2 linked regions of the Oryzias latipes genome follow. The protein of the gene in region 1 interacts with the protein of each later gene in a biochemical or structural test. Links are inferred from orthologs where the notes say so. Each region holds a gene or a part of one and is shown on either strand. Other genes may lie near its edges.

Region 1 (10,058 bases):
CTCTTCCCTCCCACAGTTACTGATCCCGCTGGTGACCCAGGATGACCTGGACAAGGCCGTGGAGCTGCTGGATCGCAGCGTCCACATGAAGAGCCTGAAGATCCTCCTAGTAGTCCAGATGTCCTCGCAGGTCTGTTTGCTCCTTCTAGCAAGGGAGCAACTATTTTGAAAAAAAAACCTAGATGACGTACAATGAAAGAGACATTTTGATGTATGATAAGATTCTCACACTTAATGAAAAAGTTCCCAGAACAATAATGACTCATTAACTGTAAATGTGTGCCTTAATATCCACCACATCCTCATGTCCTTCGCTATCAAAGCTCAGACTGATGCCATAATCCCCTCATGATAACCTAAATAGTTTTTTGACTGTTGGAAGCACTCGCAGGTACGGAACTTGTCGAAGCAGCATTCGTGCTGAGAGCGCCTGGACGGTTTCTGTCCCCCTCCCGATGGAAGTGAGCGATGATTGGGTTGAGTTTGAAGATTTCAGCAACAAACGGTTAATTTAAAAAGAAAATGTTTCCTTAAAATAGTCAGGAAAATTCCTACCTGTGAGTATATAAAGCTGTTCATTTAGTCAGCAATATATGTTTAAGGTCGACCGAGCGTTAGCATTAGCCGTCCTATGGGGAATTCCATTATACGTTAGCATCAAGCTAGCAAATTTTGGCTTTGCTGCTGTCATGCGATTTCAACTTTTATGGATTAATTGATCAACCAACCCAGCCCTTCGTGATATGATTTCAAATGTTTATTGTGTTTCTAAATAATCCATTTTGGTAATTTTGGCATGATTGTTGTTTAAAGCCAATAAGAACATCAACATTGAGAAAGCCCAAATGCTTCCAAACATTAGCTTTAAGCCAGTCGGACCACCCAGTTTGCAGGGGGTCTTTGTTTGTCTGGCTTATCTGTTTTTGTTTTCTTTCCAGAACTCCCCCGCCTCCAACATGGACCTCCTTCCATCCCACGAGGAGCTGGATAACAGGGGCTTTGGGGTTGCGGACAAAAAGAGCATGCTGTCTCTGATTGGTCAGTCAGGTGATTTCCTTTTGTCTCCTTTATCAGCTAAAGGCGGCCAGCTTATGACCTCCAAGAAAAGTGAATGTAGATTAGAGATGGATGGATGAAAAGTCTGTGACTGTCGGATGCAGCACGGTTCCATCCCATTACTAACCCATAGAGTTCAATATGATGTTGGTCCATCTTTTGCACCTATTACAGTAGAATAATTAAATGAGTCTTAAGATAGATCCCTGGGGAACTCCTGACTGAGGTGAAGCCCCAGTTGAGTCTGAGAAACGTCAACAAGTCACAGCGAGGAGAACCGCTCCATGGAAAAATGGACGTGCAAAGCGACACAACCAATCGCCGCTCACCTGAGTTTCTCTTCCAACCGCAGGGTCCCTCTCGACCGACCGAAGCTCCCCTCCCCCAGGATACATTCCCGATCCTCTCCCACAGGTGGCACGAAACGGCTCCTTCACCAGCATCAACAGCGAGGGGGAGTTCATTCCTGAGAGTATGGATCCGGTATGGACTCTGCCTTAAACTTGGTTCTAATATTATTTCACATTTCCAACAAAAAGAAAAATGCACAACAACGTAGTGCGGAAACATTTTGGAATCCAGTTTGGATGCTATGCTCCTAATTTGTGAGGTTTTGGGAGTAAAATTATGGTTTTAGCTGTTGGAGTTAACTCAAAGTGATGTTTTGTTTTTGTTTTTTCTGTGAGGCATCAGAACGGCTGCCAGGTGCACGCATTACCCCAAAATAAATATTCATAGAACGTCTACAAGTTCAGAGTTCACCAGATGGTCGTTTGAAGTCTGAAAACTTCAAACAAATATGTCCAACTTTTTTAAGCTCTTCATTATTTTGCCTTCAGATGTTCGATCCCTTATCCATGAGCAGTCCGGAGAATTCCGCGTCAGGAAGCTGTCCGTCTTTAGACAGCCCGCTGGACGGGTGAGTGGCTCCACATTCCAGCTCAAGGCCTGGTGTGAAGCCTTAAAACCGACACACAGTAACTTTTCCTTTCGGTGTGTTGCAGGGAATACCCAAAGTCCAGGATGCCTCGAGCTCAGAGTTACCCGGACAACCACCAGGACTTCCCAGGTAAACCCTGAAACAGCTTTTGATCTCAAAGATTAAGAAAGGTTTTGTTTTGCTTTAGTCTTGGCTCCACCTCTGTGATAACTGTGCCGCTGTTTTCCCCCGCAGAGTCCGACCTTCCCGTGTTTGAGAAGTCCGGGAAAGGAGGGACGTATCCACGGAGATACGGCATTCCTTACGGCCTTCAGGATTACAGCGATGGTGGGGTGTTTTTCCTTCGCTCCTGTTCGTAACAGAGAGGAGACCGAAACGAATAATTCAGAGTATCTTGTTTGGCTTTCAGGGCGGAAGACCTTTCCGCGAGCTCGGCGGACGCAGGTCCACAACTTTCGCTCGCCCGTTAGCTTCAGTCCCACAGAGCAGTCCCCCAGCACCAGCAGCGGCAGCAGCGTCTTCACCCCCGACCTGGAGGAGGCCCCCGGCCCTGCCAGGAGGCGGAGAGGCAGCGACATCGAGTCGAACGCCAACCCCTCAGCCGGCCCCACCCTCTCCGTCATGGACATCAGCCCGCCCAGTCGCTGTAAGTGGACCGAGCGCGCCCCGCCCACCTGTAGCTCAGTGGTTAACCTGCCGTGTGCTTGCAGCTCCGCGTGCTCCCACCAACTGGCGTCTGGGGAAGCTGCTAGGTCAGGGGGCGTTTGGGCGGGTGTACCTGTGCTACGACGCAGACACTGGGCGGGAGTTGGCGGTCAAACAAGTCCAGTTTGACCCGGAGAGTCCGGAGACCAGCAAGGTGCATGGTTGTTGTTGTTTTTTTTTAGTGGAGGAGCGAGGGGTAGTATGCGTCGCAATTTCAAGCTTTTGATTGGCTCGTTCAGGAGGTGAGCGCGTTGGAGTGCGAGATCCAGCTCCTGAAGAACCTGTGCCACGAGCGGATCGTCCAGTACTACGGCTGCCTGCGGGACACCATGGAGCGGACGCTCTCCATCTTCATGGAGCACATGCCTGGAGTAAGCATCTGCCAACCCCTCCCCCAAATATCGATTTGAAGTCCTTGTCCACCCTGACCGTCAACTTCCTGTCTCAGGGTTCCATCAAAGACCAGCTGAAGTCGTACGGAGCTCTGACGGAAAACGTAACGCGCCGATACACCCGGCAAATCTTGGAGGGTGTGTCGTACCTGCACAGCAACATGATCGTGCATCGGGACATCAAAGGTGAGAAGGGGGAGGGGGGGTTGCTGGCGGGGCGCGGCAGAACTTTAGCGGGTGTCCTCTGGCTCCAGGGGCCAACATCTTGCGGGATTCCGTGGGTAACGTGAAGCTGGGAGACTTTGGCGCCAGCAGGCGGCTGCAGACCATCTGCCTGTCCGGGACAGGCATCAAGTCAGTGACCGGCACCCCCTACTGGATGAGCCCGGAGGTGATCAGCGGAGAAGGCTACGGCAGGAAGGCCGACATATGGTAAGGGCGCGCTCAGAAAGCGGCGTCCGGCACCGGCTGTAGGCGCCCATCCCCCAACAAATCTGCGCTTTGCTTTTAGGAGTGTCGGCTGTACCGTGGTGGAGATGCTAACTCAGCGGCCTCCGTGGGCGGAGTTCGAAGCCATGGCGGCCATCTTCAAAATCGCCACGCAGCCCACAAACCCGGAGCTGCCCGTGCACGTGTCGGACCACTGCCGCGAGTTCCTGAGGCGGATCTTTGTAGAGACCAAACAGCGCCCGTCTGCTGATGAGCTACTTAGGCATATCTTTGTTCATTAGCACCTTCAGTCCTTACAGAACTGCCAAACATATTGAAGCAGAAGGGGCGGGCCCCCAGGTGGCTCCGCCCCCCCTCGGATTCATGCTGAGGCTGCTATGGACAGGCGAGGGAGCGCGTGCTCCTCCGTCTCTGTACGAGACTGCAGACGGTGGTTTTATTTAGGTTTTCCTGCAACGTGCACCTTAATTTCTGAAACGTGGGGGCGAGCCCCTCCCTTCTGAAGCAGACAAACGCCCCTTTTTTTCACGTTTGTACGGTTTCTCTAAGTCGGTGTTGTGGACCTGCAGGAGGTGAAGCCCTGTCCCCACATCTCGCCGACCCGACCCAGAATGTAGTGTCCTGCCAAACCCCCAGAGAGCGCCGCCGTCGACCCCGCTGCTAAAGACGACCCCAACGCCCGCCGCTCCCCACCTCACCCTTCGTCTGACCTTCCCCGTCTTCGCCGCGTGCCTTTTTCTGTTTCAGGGCCGGTCTCGGTCGCTCAGCGTCGTTTTTGTCCTCCCGGATGATCTGCCTTCACGCCGTTTTGCCCAAAAACAAACCAGCCGGTTTCAGTTCAGCCTCACGTCCACCTATGCCTGGTTTATGCGGTTCTACAAACCTGGAAACCAAAACCTATCCCTGGTCCAACGTTGACCCCGGATTTAAGAGTTGGCTCTGACACAACACGAGAAGACGATCAGGGCTTGAAGCAGCTGAACGTCTCAAAGGTTTGCAGAAGCCCAGGGTCGCTTTGGGACATCCCACAGCCCTCCTCGTCTCCTGCTGGCCTTCCTCTTGAAGAGGTTTACAGGATCTTGCATCATGACTCCACATCGCAGCCTTTTTTACTGTTGTTTTTTGCAAACGTCCCCAACAGTCCAGAAGCAGCGCTGCAGTTTTTCTACTGTTTCTTCACCTCTTAGATGTTTCTTCTTCTCTTTGAAGGTGCAATCAGCAGATGTTAAAAGTAACGGTACAGATAAACAATCATTTGAACCCGGTACAGTCTCTGGTACGTGCTCCTTGCTGCTGTTTCCTCCGTGTCCACTAGGTGTCGATGACGAGTTGTATCCACAGATTGCCTCTTGCAGGTCGCGATGAAGTGGACTTCTGAGAGCACTTACGAGTTTTCTTTTTAAAAAAAATCTTTTGGTTTTCCAAAGCGGAAACATTCTCCGAGGCGGCCCACTGTTCCACCTCGATTCCCACAATGCACTATGGATGACTCACTGATGCTTTCTTACGGCTTCCTCACAGCTGCCGGATGCAGCTCGGTTCAGCCACCTTTTCTTTGCACATTTAAAGACTGTTTTGATTTATTTTTTTTGACGGCGTGTGTGCGTGTATGTGTGTTTTGAATGTCCAGCTAACTCTTACTGAATGTAATGTGTCATATTTACCATCAGGTGGCCTGGTTTCACCACAGTGGATTAACTCCAGTATTTGTCACCTGCAGGTACATCTGTAGTTCTCTCTGTAGCCGCTGCTGCCATTCCTGTGTGTTTGTATGTATGTGTGTGTATGCGTATGTATGTGTGTATGTTGATGTGCATTTACTGCACTTTGCTCATTGGTCACTTGAGCATTCTGATCATGGGGGGAGGCGTCAGGACTTTAAAGTTATGATTACAAAAAAGAGGAAATGATTTAAATAAAAATAAAAAATCAAATGTATCTTTTTTTTTGTTGTTTTTAAAAGAAAAGTACTCTTATATCCCACATGTTTGGTCTGTGTATTGTAAAAGAAGCCATGTTTATAATTCTAATTGGTTTGTGACCAATATGCCTGTTTATATCAGATCTGTATATCAGTGGTACGCATAATTTTTTAATATATATTTTTATTTTGCTTTTGTTTTGTAAATGGGAGATTTCATGCATGGTTGGGTCCAGAGAGACACAGCGGTGCTGTTGAACGGTTGCTATTTTTTTGGACAAATTCCTGGACCGTGGCGTCGGCTCCGGGGTCGATAATGACAGCAGTTATGAATACGATGATGAAAACAATAAAAGCTATTTATTTCACATGAACTCTTGGTTTTTACTCCCTATTTATTCAAGTGTTTGGTAGTTTGTGACAGACAATTGTATATTTTGAGCTATTATCGTTAAAGCATTACAACACAAATTTTAGATGTTGGGAACTTTATTTTGAAGGCCAAACTATTTCCAACGTTGCAGCTTTTGCACTTCCTGTTTGAGGCCAGTCTGAAATAAGACTGATTGGAGCCAAGTCACTAGGCGGCTTGTGACATATTTGCACAGGGGTTTGTTTCTTATGGACCAAACTGCAGCTAGAGCCACAAACTCCCACGTTATTGTTTACAAAAAAAGACTTAATTCGCGTTTTTGTGGCCATTACGCCATCCATTTAGAACATGTAGCTTTGAGATATAGACAATAGTATACCAATGTTATATTTTACTCTTAACAGCAGCTTATACAAGTTCCTTTCTGGTCACTCTCCCCTTGGAACGGAGGTACAGGACTGAAGTGAAGGGCCACTAGACTCAGGAACTCTTTCTTTTCCTCTGCCATCAGACTACATAACCCTTGTGCTATCTTAGATGACCCCACCCTTACATTGACGTGTTCTCCCTACCATGACAAAGGTGGATAAAGGTGGAAAGATTTCATGTAATCCATGGACACCAGTGAAAATCACAAATCATTGAAGAAAAAAGGTTCAGAGCACTGTCTAGTGGGTCTAGATGACCCAACTCCCAATGTTAAATTGCCTAGGATAGCACAAGGGTTAACAGCTGACAGGAGTCTGGAACACCTTGCACATCCTCATTGTTCATTATTGTTTATTATTACTGTTCTTGAACATTTAGAATTTGCATGACATCTTTTTATTTATTTTTTTGCAGTTTTATTTTTATTTATGTTATGTGTGAATTTTGAGTTTCCTGTACATTTCGTACTCCTATCTTTATTTTATTTTATTTAAATTAACCTTGGCATTCAGAGTAGACAGCAAAGTCAGAATTTAATTGTTTAGGAAAACCTGTTTCTTACTGTGCATACGACAATAAACCCTTTGAATCTTGAATATTTCAAAATAAAAGACACCGTTTGCCAAATAAGATCCAGATTTAATTGAATTAAAAATGCAGGAAAGTCAAAGTTAATATTTTCTATCATAACTTTAGTGCGCCTTCATCCTTATTCTCCTTTTAATATTAAATATAAGCATGACAAAATTAAGTCAAAATTCCCCTTTTAGAAAGAAATCTAAAGTAAATATAAATCCAATGATATACTTTAAGTACTTAACCTCTGGACAGCAACTATACTGTTGTGGTACAGAACTGTACTGTGTGTTTTAAGCATATTCTAATAATATTCCACCACAAAACCTAATAAACTTAACATAAAGAACTAAAACTACAAAAAAAATAATTTCTTTGGCTCCGGAGCCTCAGGTTCCAGACCCCTGTGTTAGCTTCTATTCACTTCAATGTAAAACGCCGCTTAACAACATAAAATAACTAAAATGTAGTTCTAAAGCTACTCTGCGGCTTCATTTAAATATAAAAACTTTCTTTTATTGATCTAACATTGGATTCCATCTTCCAATGGTTTTCAGGCCTCCTTTTCCAAAAACGCCCGTATTGGTTGACCTTCCTAGCTAAGATGGCAGTGGAGCTCCAAAACAGACTTTAAATGGATGTGATGCAAAGCAAAAGGTCACATGACCACATCCATCTCAGCTGAACTCTGACAAGAGTGGCATATTTATATAATAATGTTAGAGGTTGAACAGCTTTGTTAGATTTAATTTCCGGTATGTTTATTTGCCAAAAACGTCGACTAGATTGTAATTTTTGGTAAAACATTTTATTTTTGTAAAAGTGAATTTGATCATTTCGTTCAGCAGAAGTTTGCTTCATAAGTTCAGAACTGAAAAAAAAAAGATTTTTTTAAAGAAACCTCTGAAAAGTTGGTTTTGACCGCGTCCTCATCGACAGTCTTGTGGTTATGGAGAGCCGAGCGAGCGCCAGTATTCAATCAAATCGTCGCCGTCACAGAAATGTTTCGCCTGTTCTCCAATCATCTTTATGCGGGACTAGCTGGGCGAGTCGCTTTCTATCTCTTCCCCCAGCTTCAGCATCGACCCGTTAATGTCGGAGGTGTCGTCTGCCTCCGAGATCCACCTGCGCAAAAAATAAATAAAGAAATAAATCGGTCGTAAGCTTGAATTTACTGGGGGGGAAAAAAAAGAATAGAGTAACATCTCGGTAAAGACAGTAAAGCGCAATACTCTCGTTTCTGCTGTAGCTGCTAATATACGTGCATAGCTTTTATGCTAACTTCAACATCACCTATTTAGTCTTGTGGTGTCCCACAGGGCTTATTCCTAGGTCACCATACATGTTTGCAGTATGTTTGAATATCTACTTCTACTACACTTGACTTTGTCAGGAAACCTAAAGAGTGTCTTGTGTTGATTCTATTGTGTTTGCTAGTAGCTAGAAGTTCGCAAACACAATGACTGATTCTTCCCCAATTGTCTGTCATTGGTTTGATAACACCCCATCAAAAACAAAGACCTATGTCTAATCTTCTTGTAGATCTAAACGTACCTTCTCAAAGTTCTGGTTGAAGGTAAGCTAATCTTCGTCCTCAGGAATTTATAAGCTTTGGGGCTTTGCATGTGGAGTGTGAGGGCAAAGTTCTTCTGTTCCTCTGTATAACCAGACGAACCAGCCAACTGGAACAAGTCGTAGGGGAAAGCTGGGGAAAGAACGCAAACAGGACGCGTTAAAGGTCGTCAGACGAACTCGCGGGGAGCTCCAACGCCACAGTTTACCTTCAACGGTGTCGAGCTTCTGCTGGAGTCGCTCTTTCAGAAGATTGCTCTCCTTTAGCTCCTCCTTCAAAGAGGAGATGCTCTTCTTGAGGAGCATGGCGGTTCGGGTTATCGTACGCAGCTTCCGACTCAAGGTTTCCGCCCTCCGCTCGGCCTGCTGCCACTTCAGCTTGAAGTCTTCGTTGGAGCCAGCGTAGGTGTGGAACTGTCGAAAGGCAGCACGCGCAACGTCACAATGTAAGCGATGGCACTGCACAGGACTACAAACGTGACCTTACGGTGGAAAGGGACCACTGCTCGGGGGCTTGGCCTTCCTTTTCCGCTGAGAAGAGGGAAGCATTCTGGGAGGAGGCCAGGCGCTTCCCTGTGCTGTTCGCAGTTTGGACGAGTTTACTGTTCTGTGGAAGAAAAATGACAAAAACGGATGGGACTTTTTTTGTGATTCCACAATTTAATCTAGTGAATTTCAATAAGCACCATGATATTTTAACAGTTTGGTCACATCACTATGATGTTTGATAAGACATAAACCCAAAATAACATAAAGGACATTTAGAATTATGAATGACAACATTTTGAACCAGTCATGACTCTACAATGACTGTTCAAAGTGACAATTACTTGTGGAGTCCCTCAAGGTTTTGTTCTGGGACCACTACTATATTTGTTGAGAAAATGACTGCTAATTACATTTTACCCCCAATTACACAGAAAATTTACCTGGACTTAGCTCTATGTTCAAATAACCATTGTCTATCGGGCTCTGCAATGAGGGCTCAAAATGACAATGACTTGTGGAGTCCCTCAGGGTTTTGTTCTGGGATCACTGCTATTTTTTACTCAATGAATTCTGATAACACTTTTTTTCAAAATGTATGTGTCATTTCAGTTTACTTAACTCTATAATCAAGTAATTATGGTCAATTAGGCTCTCTAGTAATTGCTTTATAAATGCGATTTTTTTCTCTCTCCAGCAAATAAAATCAAACTTTATTTATAAAAAGTGCCTCTTTTGCATTGTGCAGCTCGAAGTACTTTACGTTTATAAACAAAAACAAGCACGGTTATTATGATAACACAGCACCCCCCGTTGACACATACATCCTATGACCCCAAAAACAAAGTACCCATCTATTATTTGTTTTTGTATTATTTATTTTTCTGCAGATCTCATCTTCAGAAAACACTCTCCTGTTCTTTCGAATATGCGTTTAACTAGAAAATTGAGCTTAAATGGCAAAATATTCAGACAATAACAAATTCTAAGAATAAAATGACATGTTTTAAACTCTTAAAAGGAGCAATTAAAAATGACATTTTACCAATTTTGAGACAGACTTTCAAGAAAGGTCTTACACTGGATATGGAGCACTGTTGGACAGGTTCACTTTCATTCTGTAAAACATTACGAGGAGACGCTGGCTGCTCTTCTGTG
Region 2 (10,094 bases), on another chromosome or scaffold:
TGATCCTTTTTATGTGTGTAATTTTGTGCTGCAGCTCTGCTGCACACATTTAACTTTGCAAAGGCAAATATAAACGGCTGTTACCTGGAGTTTAGTTTTGTTTCAAATTACAATACCTTACATTTAGAGTATAAACTGATAAAAAAAGATCAAAATATAGAAAGAGACTCAACTATAACCAGTTTAGTAAATCTTGATCTTAACTTCTTCCCATTTTACTCAAAAAACATTTAGTAAGTATTTATTAGACAGAAAATAGCCAATGGAGCAGCCTAAGGTGTGTTTTACTTTGCTTAAAGAGATTCTCATTGTGAAGTAAAATAGAATGAAAACGTAGTAATATACTGTGTGTTCTTAACTAATTGTACCACATTGAGCACTTTATGTATTTTTTATATACATATATTTTTTACAAAAATGTTAATGGATTTTATTTATTTCTTAGTTCTTTTCTGTTGTAAAGATTTGTAGAATGACCGAATGTTAAATCTCTTTGTTCCACATTTGTTTGAATTTACAAAACTATTTTTTATAAAAAATAATATTTATTAAAAAAGATCTTTTTTTTTTTGCTATTTAAAGGAATATTTATAATATCGTCAGCCTAATAGCATTTCTGCCTAACTCATTTTTTTGCCAAATTGAGATATTGGCCTAACTCTACTCTCCTTTCACTGCTGCACCACCCTGTATAACTGCCTATTTTCTCAGCCAATCAGAAGGCTTCCATCATTCAAAAAACACTATCTGCTTTAGTCATCTAATTGACTTGGGCATTTTGATGCCATATAAAAATGTGCTCAAGTCATCTCAAATTGACTTGAGCAGTTTTGGCGCTACACAACAATGGCTGCCCTATGAAGAACAAGGCTCGTCTTAGCATAAATGAAGCATTAGATCTTATCTTTGATTCATCAGGTAAGGTTATTCATTCCTTTCTGGAGCCTGGAACAGTTATTTGTGACCTGTACAAAGAATACTGTAAAGCTGTTGGTGAGAATGGAGCACGGGTTGTGAGTGAGGGGTATTTCCGCAAAGTGTTCCGTGAGTTGAAATACTCTGTGTTCATAACACGGAAAGACCAGTGTGATGTATGTGTTAGTGCCAAGGCAGTAGATCAGGATACCCTTAATGCTCATTTGAAATCAAAGGCTGAAGCTCAGGCTGAAAAAGCTAAGGATAAACAGGAATCCAGTGACAAACTCTCAGTGTGGACAATAGACCTGCATCGTGTTCTTTTGTGCCCCAAGACCCAAGCGAGCCCAATGTATTATAAAACTAAACTGCAGATACACAACTTTACTTGCTTCAACCTGGGTAAAAAAGATAGCTATTGTTACCCCTGGGAGGAGCACGAGGGCTCCCTCAGCAGCGAGGTTTTTGCCCATCTGCAGTTCAAACACTTTGAGTCAGTCTTAAGGCCTGTTCACACCGGGACGAATTTCGCGCGCGATATTCGCCGACGTTTAACGCCTCGTGACTAAACAAAGGGCACCAATGTGAGTGTGCACACCGACGCAAAAAACGCTACGCGTAAAAGCGTCATTTTTCAAAAAACGCCTTGGGTTTGTTTTTTTGGTTTGACGCGCCGCGTCAAAAACTATCTTTTGCACACTAGCTTTTGCACACGTGTCTGGAGCTTCTGAAGTTACAGTAAAACACAACTTGGGGGCACTCAAACAAAAAACTGTCTTGCTGAGCACACATACATAACGGCAAAGAAGATATACGCCAAGTAGCATCTACACTGCCACGAAGAAATAAGACGAAGAAGATGCACTCACTGACGGACATTCTAAAATATCCCCGAAAACGCTCATGATACATTTTCAGCTCATGTACCAGTCGATAAAACTCCCCATGTTCTTCTCTTCTCGTAACTATGGGATGTACATCTGCGTCTTTTCCGGCGTCTTTCATCATTCAACAGAACAATAATTTCTTCATCGCTGGAACTGGAGCTGCTGGTGCTTGAAATATTCATGTTTTCTTTGTATGATTCTGACAAACGCGTAAACTTGCTCTCTTCTTCTGAGTGAAAAGCGACTTTAAGGAGGGTAAAGTTGCGCAGCGCCACCTTGTGTACAGGGGTATTTCTGTTTTACGTTAAGCGCCATCTAATGTCAGGGAATGAATTTGCATGTTCACTCGGCTCATCGTTAGGCGAAAATCGCTTGGGTGTGAACACAAAAAACGTGGCGAAAAACGCTGGCGAATAACGTGCGCCGATATTCGTCCCGGTGTGTACGGCCCTTTAGAGGCCAACCCAAATATTAAAAAGTCATAGTCTGGAGTGATGGCTGCGGCTATCAGAATCGGTGTTGCACCATTGCAAATGCGTACCTTGATCTGGCCATGAAGCATGATGTCACAATTGTACAAAAATTTCTGGTTGCAGGGCACACACAAATGAAGTGTGACTCCATGCATAGCTGCATTGAACGCCGTATCAGGAAAGACATTTACACTCTGCGTGATTACATCATCATTTTTGAAACTGCACGTTTGAACCCATCCCCGTACAAGGTCACCCAGTTGTACCACAACAACTTCATGAAGTTATCTGGGGCCTACGTCAAAACCATCCGGCCAGGTGGAAAACCAGGTGATCCCACAGTCCATGACCTTCAGGCTTTCCAGTACTTGGCAGATGGATTCGCTATAAGTTAGCGTTTGAGTCAGACTGGGAGGGCCTGCTTCAGCGAGTGACCATCCCCAGAGAATCATTCCCCTGGGTCCCACTCTTTCCTACCCAATTGCCACTCACTCTGAGGAAATTCCAGTCAATGAAACTGGTACTACCAAGAGTGGTCCATGACTACTATAACAACCTGCCTCACCAAGGCAAATGAAACAATCTGGGTTAGGCAAGTGAAACATCGTTTCACGTTAGTTAATGTTAGGTCTTAACATTGGTTAAGGAAATAGTTAAATAACCAGGTTATGTTAAGGCAAGAAACAAGTTTGATGGTTTTTACTTTATTATAAAAACTGCCTAAGTCAAATTGAGTTCCCTGCAAAATTTGCACAAGTCAGTTTTCTATGTTATGCAATAGCTATTGTCTGTTTTTTTATTTCAAACGGGTTCACACATCTGGTGGGAGTCACCATTAACATATAAATAAAAAGTTCTTACAATTTGGTGAAAAAAAGGTGTTTTTTCTTCTTTTCCAAAAACCTGAAAAAATGAGTTAGGCAGATTTGCTATTAGGCTGACGATATAAAGAATTGTTTTTTTGTATTACAAATTTATTTTTTTGTTTCATTTTGTTTTATTTTGAAAGGTTTGTTTGTTTTTTACCCACTTTGTGATTCTTGGCATGCCATATAACATGTAAGTGCCCCTGCATGGGGTTTAACGGGTTTTCAGAAAAATTAGACAATGTTCTCTGCTGACAAAACAAGATGTTTTTAGATCTCTGAGGTAATTTAATAAACAACTACCGGTACATACTTACTCATTTGTCTTTTTTTTTTTACTCTTTCATTCTAAAGGTGACGTGTAATTGTTTCACCATCAGTGATGGGGAGCTACAGGAGATAGGAGTGGGGCTGTATCCAAGGTAACACACGCATGTTCACATTCATGCATGCACGAAAAAAACACTTAGAGGCACACATGTCTGAATACATTTTTTAAGGGGCTCATTGCTTCTGTCACTAATTTAAACATTAAAAAAGCAGCTTGGAGATACAGTACCATGGCTTTGACAGCACACTTTCAAAGCTGGCCCTGCTCTCCACGCTTTCTCCTCTCAGCTCTTTGAAGTATGACAGAAGAAGGGAAGAGAGACGAGGTGAAATGTTCTCGTAAGGCGAAAACTTGGTAATGAATGTTGCCGGAATATGAAAATGCTGCTTGGCGTAGACAGAAGCGAGAGAGCTCTGAGAAATCTCACTCCTGGAGATTCAGGATGGATATCATGAAATGTTGTCTTTTTCCACAAACTGGATAAGTAAGTTGTGTCCTGTGTGAAAGGGCGTGGATTTGGCTTTTTGTCCAACACACTGTCTGTCCTGTCACACATAGAGACACAGATATCTTAACACATACACAAACACATGCAGGTATCCCAGCCAGTTTATCTGGCGAGTATGGAGATGTCAGATGGTCACAGCAGTATTACCAAAGCTCAGCCAAACCATGCATTTGGGCTGCAATTCACCCATAAATGAAAGGCTCACTCGCAGGATGGTCCCCTGCCTATTCTTATTTTGGGTTGCCTAGCAACCATGGGTTTTTTGAATAGAGGGGGATATTTGGTTGAGGCTAAACCTCAGCTCAGTTTATGAAATGCAGTTTTTTACCTTTTAGTTAACACTCCTTTTTTTTCTTTTACTTTTGTCATCCCCTCCTCTGATATCCACTCTCTGCATGTCATTCTCCACCTCAGCTAAATGGCCTAAATGATATGGATTTGTGGATAACTGATTGGCTCAGATGTTAACAGACATTTATTCACTTTTTGTTATCATTTTTAATCTTAATTTAGCCTCACAGTAACAGAAAGTCATGAAGCTGCATCCACATCTTCACCACCTTTATAGTAATGTACTAATATACTAAAACATTTTTTTAAAGATCCACTCTGATGAAAATCGTGTTCTTGGTGTTTTTAACATGTTCTTGTGGCATTTTTCTGATGATGGAGGACATATATAAAGACAATTTCTAATTTATTTCTTTATTCAAATTGTTGTGAATCAGGAGCGAACAGAAAAAAATTCAGTTTGAAAATGCTTGTAGCTGATGTAGGTGCTGCAGTTGGCAGGTCACGAGCTCCATTCTGATGGACACACTTGCAGACACATAGATTCATGTAATCTCAATTTTCCTTATCTACAGCTCAAAACTGTACAGCCGGATTGCTCCGACATTGCTCGCCATATTTGTTGCACCGCTAATGTTGTGTTGGGGTAAGGAGGGGCTGTAAGCTAGCAGGAGAGTGTGTAACAAGTGGATGGTGGGAAATAAGCGCAGGCTTACTTCTGCCCCCAACTCAGAGTTACAGTTCTAATGAACTACTGACGCTCCGCAGGAACTATGTCCTAGAAAACAACACGTTTTCTTTTTTATTTTGGCTAAAAAAAGGCACAATCATAGTTACAAGACCACTAGGAACGCTTTTAAAATAGATCAAAAGATGATTGCAGTGGGACTTCAAGGAGAAATCAGGAACATGTTCTGTATTAGAAAGCAGGGGTGATTAGTCGTGCAGCTCCTGCACTTTAAGGATTCTTGTTCAACTCGAAAAACTGAGTTTAGAATCAAAGAGGTTAGATATTGAATATTTTTATATTTAGTAAATTTCAATTTTGTCCTAATGGCATCTTTTCATCCTGCTGCAGCAGGAGCAGCACATTTTTCTTACATTTGCCTTCAATGTGAGATGATGTTTGCTTAATTATTCTAATTAGTATGCTAACGAGCAGCTCTCTATCTGATAAAAGCTTCTTTTGGAGGACTTGATGTCTAGTTTTTATTCAACCAGCAACTCCTCCACTGTTCGTGCAAAGCCGAAAGAGGGTAGCTGGTGGTTTCATGCACACTGAACACACATACTTTATCTCATTCAATCACTATTATGCTGAATACTGTCATTGTTAGCTGCGGTAATGGAGAGAGCTGTACAAACACACAAGAACCTCTTCAGGTTTTACCGCTCATGTGTGCAGAGATGTTCTATGACTTTATGTGAGGGGGAGGTCTTTACTTGCAGTTACATTGTCAACATGGGAGTCATGGTGAACAGAATTACCATAAAGTAAATTCAGGATTTTCAACAGTGACAGTGCTCTGCTTTGTTTGTTGGGTTTGTTCCATGTCTATGTTAGATTACCACTTAGTTTAGTTAAACTAGGGGTCTGAAACATGAGGCACCGGAGTCGCATGTGGCTCTTTTGCTCCGCCATTGTGGTTCTATGGTTAAAGAAAAATAAAGGTTTTTTTTAAGTAACTGTGAAGTAAATAAGTAGGTAAGTAATAAAGTGTAAAACTGTGCCTTATGGTTCAAAAGATACAGTGAGTAGTAAGTAAATTTGATAGAAATCTATTTCCCTTTATTAATAGTACATTTGCTCAAGTTTTGCTACTGTCAACCTGCTCCATATAAATTTAATTACACCCATGTAAAAAAAAGTTTGAATATCGTAGAAAAAATAAAAGCTATCTAGATACATTTGCTTTTTTCTTTCTATCTCCTTTTTTCTCTCTTTTTGTACTTCATTTTTGTCATCCCATTCTCTGCTTCTCATTCTTTTGACTTTAGTTTATCTCTGTTGAACCACGACTGCCGGCCCAACTGCGTGATGGTCTTTAATGGGACAGAACTGCAGCTCAGAGCTGTGCAGGATATTAACCCAGGAGAGGAGGTATGGTGAAAAAAAAGTACTGCATTTTTACAGCAGTAACAACACAAATCACATCAATGGAAGCCGTTCTCATTTATTGTTTATTCGTTATTAATGGCTTTTGTCATAACTTACTTGCAAAATCTGAAAGTAACAAGCGCGGCTGCTGTCAAATAAATTTCACTGCTCAATTAATTACCACTTTTTGATGGATTCATAGTAAAATTGCTGTTTTATTAAAAACCTGCAGCCTAGTGAAATATCACAAGCAGCACATGCAAGTTGAAATCTCCTGACTTAGAGGTGGTTTTTTTTCTCTTTCTCGTGACTCTATGTAATGAGATGCATCAACGCCATCTGTACGGAGACACACCAGCACTCCCACACACGCCTAACGCAGCATAATTTCTTTCACACTCACTTAACCATAGTTCTGCTGCAAATATTTGCTCCTGCTAAAGTTGTTGTACTGCGCTGTAAGAAATGTGAATAAATGCATTCATGCCAACACTGATCTAATGATCTCTTTGTGTCCAGCTAAGGATAAGTTATATTGAGACATTGTCTTTGACTGAAGATCGGCAGAAGCAGCTGGAGGAGCAGTATCATTTCACCTGCCACTGCCAACGCTGCAGCTCAAAGGAACAGGTCAGAAGTAGTTATAGCAAGTTATCGTAAAAAAGAAAATGACAAAAACTGTACTAATACAGCTTTATGACTGAAATTTAAAAAAGTTTGTTTAATTCAGAAATAATTGTTTAAAACCAAAAGTATTGACATATTCTTTTTCTTTCACTGTGAAAAAACGTTTTTATTACTTCTCGATGCTTATTTAGTTGCTGAACCATGACAACCTCATTATCACTGCATTAATAATGTTTATATCCTTTTTATTAATTTTCATCCTCCTTGTTTTTCTGTTCCCAAATAACAAAAAGAATTGAACCGAAGCTGATACAGATTTACTTGATTCTTGCAGTCTTTATAAATTATTCTTGACAGCTGAGCAGAGTCGAGCTCTCTTCTTTTTCTTGTTGTCGCACACTTTTCAGGCGCACAAACTTGCCCCTACTTGTGTTGTGCTGTGCAGACAGCGTGTCGGTGCATAACGCGTCTCCGTGTTCCCTCTCCTGTCCTCCTCTTTCCCTCTCTTGCTCCTCTCCTCTCTGTCACTCTGTCACGCTCCACCTCTTCACATCCTCCTTCTGTTGGTCTGACCACCTACTGAAAAATGAGAAAAATTATCTCGTCTTTCAGCTGCAGTTTTCTTTTCCATCCATCTCAACCAGCTCGTCCCTCCTGCTCCCGTCTGTGCTCCAGCTTCAATGTTTTCTGTCCTCTCATCTTTTTGTCTTTGCCATCACCTCGACTTCTGGCTTTGATCTCTCTATTCTAAAGTGTAGACGACACTACTCTACAACACAGCAACTCCCCTAAAACACTGCACTGGTTGAGGGCTTTGTGTGAGTGCGAGATAAGCCAAGAGTGAGCTCTCAGGTGGTCCTCTGGAAACAAAGGCATCAATTTATTTAACCAACCTTTAATCCGCAAACACAGAAACGCACTTTGTGATACGCTTCTTTGTCTCTTTAATCTTTTTTTCAATTGATACGGATGATGTCAGGCCGCAGGACTGTGGCATAAAGTTGTCATGGCAACAGTTGACTTTTTTTTCTGTTTCACCTCTTTGTGCAGGATGGAGTCATGCTGTCAGGGAGGGAAGCAGCCTGGCGCCAGCTAAAGGAAGCCCTACCAAGGCTGGAAGGACTGCAGTTAGAGTCCAGCATCCTTTATCGCTCTTAAAGACTATAAAAAATAATTTTATCTTTGCATTTTGTTGGTGATCTTGAAAGTTTTAAATTTAGATTTAGATGTTGAAATAATTTGAAGCATTTAATCAGTAATTTTACTGACCTGAATTTGAATTTTTGGCTTAATTTTCTTAAACAAATTGTTAAAACAAAATTTAGGACTTTAGAGCATCCGCCTTCTTTATGAACACTCATTGATGTCAAATTCCTTAATTACTTCCTTAGATTGGCTGGAACTTTTAGAGAGTTGCAGCAATCTGCTTACATCTGCTGGTGAGGAAGTTCCCGATGAAAATCTCTATAAGCTCAAGATTACTGATATGGCTTTGGATGCTTCTGTTCATCTGGGGCGATGGGAGGAGGCGTTGTCATTTGGGCTCAAGACCCTTCCATCTTACAGGTTAGGCTCTCTTTGTTTGTATGTTCCTCAGAAAAGCAATTAATACTTTTATCTAACTTTTATCTTGCTCACTTCACTTCAAATATTTAGATACCAAGGTTTAATAAATATGAACTGCAGTAAAGTGAAGCAGCTTTAGTTAAGATTGGCAGTAGATTTATGATGGTTGTTTTGCTTTTTGAGCTAACTATCATGCTATGATGTCAAATATGTACCTCAAACATGGTTTATAGGAGGAAAACCCCAATGTTCCAAGTTGTTTACCCTCGAAAACCCCTAAAACCTACTGTATTTTAATTTTAGTGCAGTTCTTCTGATCTCAGCCTGGGCAGTAGAGCAGCACACATCCCCTGTCTTAACATTCACATTGTGAAATTTGTAATTGTGTCTGCTGTGCTGTGTGGTAACAGAACCTTCTTAAAATAATCAAAATGCATTAAAATTGAGTTTGTTGCTGTGAAGCACACGGTTCTTGAACAGCATTTAGATTTATCTCAATGCTTTTCTATGTATACATAAAATTGGAGATGAACATAATTAACACTGTAATGATGCCTAACAAGAGCTGGAATGAAATAGTTTTCCCTAAATTTGAAAAAACTACAACATAGCTAAGGTAATATTTTTTTTTTAGGTTTTTGCATGTGACGGAGATGGTGGCCGGCACTTAAGAAAAATAGATCAATTAAAAAATAGGCAACATGAGGTGAGGGATTTTCTTCTGGTTGCATTAGTTAGTTTTACCCAATCGTACCAACCCAGTCCTAAAATAGGCGAAACATCATCTGAAACAATAAATATAAGCTTTTGTTAGCTAATGCAAAGTACATGCTAGTGCAAATGCATATGATTACGTCAAATAGCCGTTAAACAGCATGAAGTGCTGCATCCTCTGCAGACATTCTTCCAGGACATCAGCTCACACTACAGATTACCTTCAGCATCCATGCTGGTCCAAACCCTGGAATGTTTTCCTGGCAGAGATCATAAATTACAACGGCAGCTCATAATAGAGCTATAGGTGGATGATGCCAGTGCTCAACACATCATGTATAATTGATGATGGTTTTATTTTGTCTGGGCTCCTCACTCCTCTACCATGTTGGAAAGTCTTTGTTAATAAAAAAGGGGTGGGATACGCAAACGTGTGTCTAAAAGTAGTGTATTTTAAAAATGCATGTAGAAAATAAACTCAAATTTATGAAAGATGTTTGTAGAAAATAAACAAAATAATCTAATGAGAAACCCATGTCTATAATATCTTACTGACTTAAGGCTTTAAGGGAATTCAAATAAACCCAGCACTTTTAAAGGTTGTGTCTCAGATTATGATAAATTACATCAGTTGTATCTTGTTTGCTCTGTCCAACCCCCACACACACCTCTGCTCAGTTTTTACTGCAGTACGGCTCCCTCAGCCTCAACATTATACAGCTGCTGCATGGTTTTTGTGTAAGTGTGCGCGTGAAACTAATTGATCTTGTGTAAAGGGCAAAGCTCCAGTGGCACAGCCGTACTCTCACACACACCAG

The links. The genes of interacting proteins can lie anywhere in the genome.
Region 2: the proteins of map3k2 (region 1) and smyd3 are reported together in a solved structure, tested with the Homo sapiens proteins (2 studies listed by BioGRID and IntAct, with this or other methods). The link is inferred for Oryzias latipes from reciprocal best matches to the Homo sapiens genes MAP3K2 and SMYD3.

What each region holds. Positions count from the first base shown.
Region 1 is NC_019860.2:9,907,508-9,917,565, forward strand, and holds the end of map3k2 (mitogen-activated protein kinase kinase kinase 2), read left to right. Parts: intron 1-16; coding exon 17-130; intron 131-938; coding exon 939-1,047; intron 1,048-1,408; coding exon 1,409-1,539; intron 1,540-1,895; coding exon 1,896-1,975; intron 1,976-2,060; coding exon 2,061-2,125; intron 2,126-2,230; coding exon 2,231-2,323; intron 2,324-2,405; coding exon 2,406-2,642; intron 2,643-2,706; coding exon 2,707-2,855; intron 2,856-2,940; coding exon 2,941-3,072; intron 3,073-3,149; coding exon 3,150-3,279; intron 3,280-3,347; coding exon 3,348-3,525; intron 3,526-3,604; coding exon 3,605-3,824; 3' UTR 3,825-5,838; downstream 5,839-10,058. Other genes in the region: THAP domain-containing protein 1 A, read right to left, coding at 7,880-7,967, 8,397-8,547, 8,624-8,828, 8,902-9,021, 9,980-10,058. UniProt on the Homo sapiens protein: Component of a protein kinase signal transduction cascade. Regulates the JNK and ERK5 pathways by phosphorylating and activating MAP2K5 and MAP2K7. Plays a role in caveolae kiss-and-run dynamics.
Region 2 is NC_019861.2:24,808,152-24,818,245, forward strand, and holds part of smyd3 (histone-lysine N-methyltransferase SMYD3), read left to right. Parts: intron 1-3,495; coding exon 3,496-3,563; intron 3,564-6,269; coding exon 6,270-6,372; intron 6,373-6,888; coding exon 6,889-6,999; intron 7,000-8,046; coding exon 8,047-8,134; intron 8,135-8,387; coding exon 8,388-8,562; intron 8,563-10,094. UniProt on the Homo sapiens protein: Histone methyltransferase. Specifically methylates 'Lys-4' of histone H3, inducing di- and tri-methylation, but not monomethylation. Also methylates 'Lys-5' of histone H4.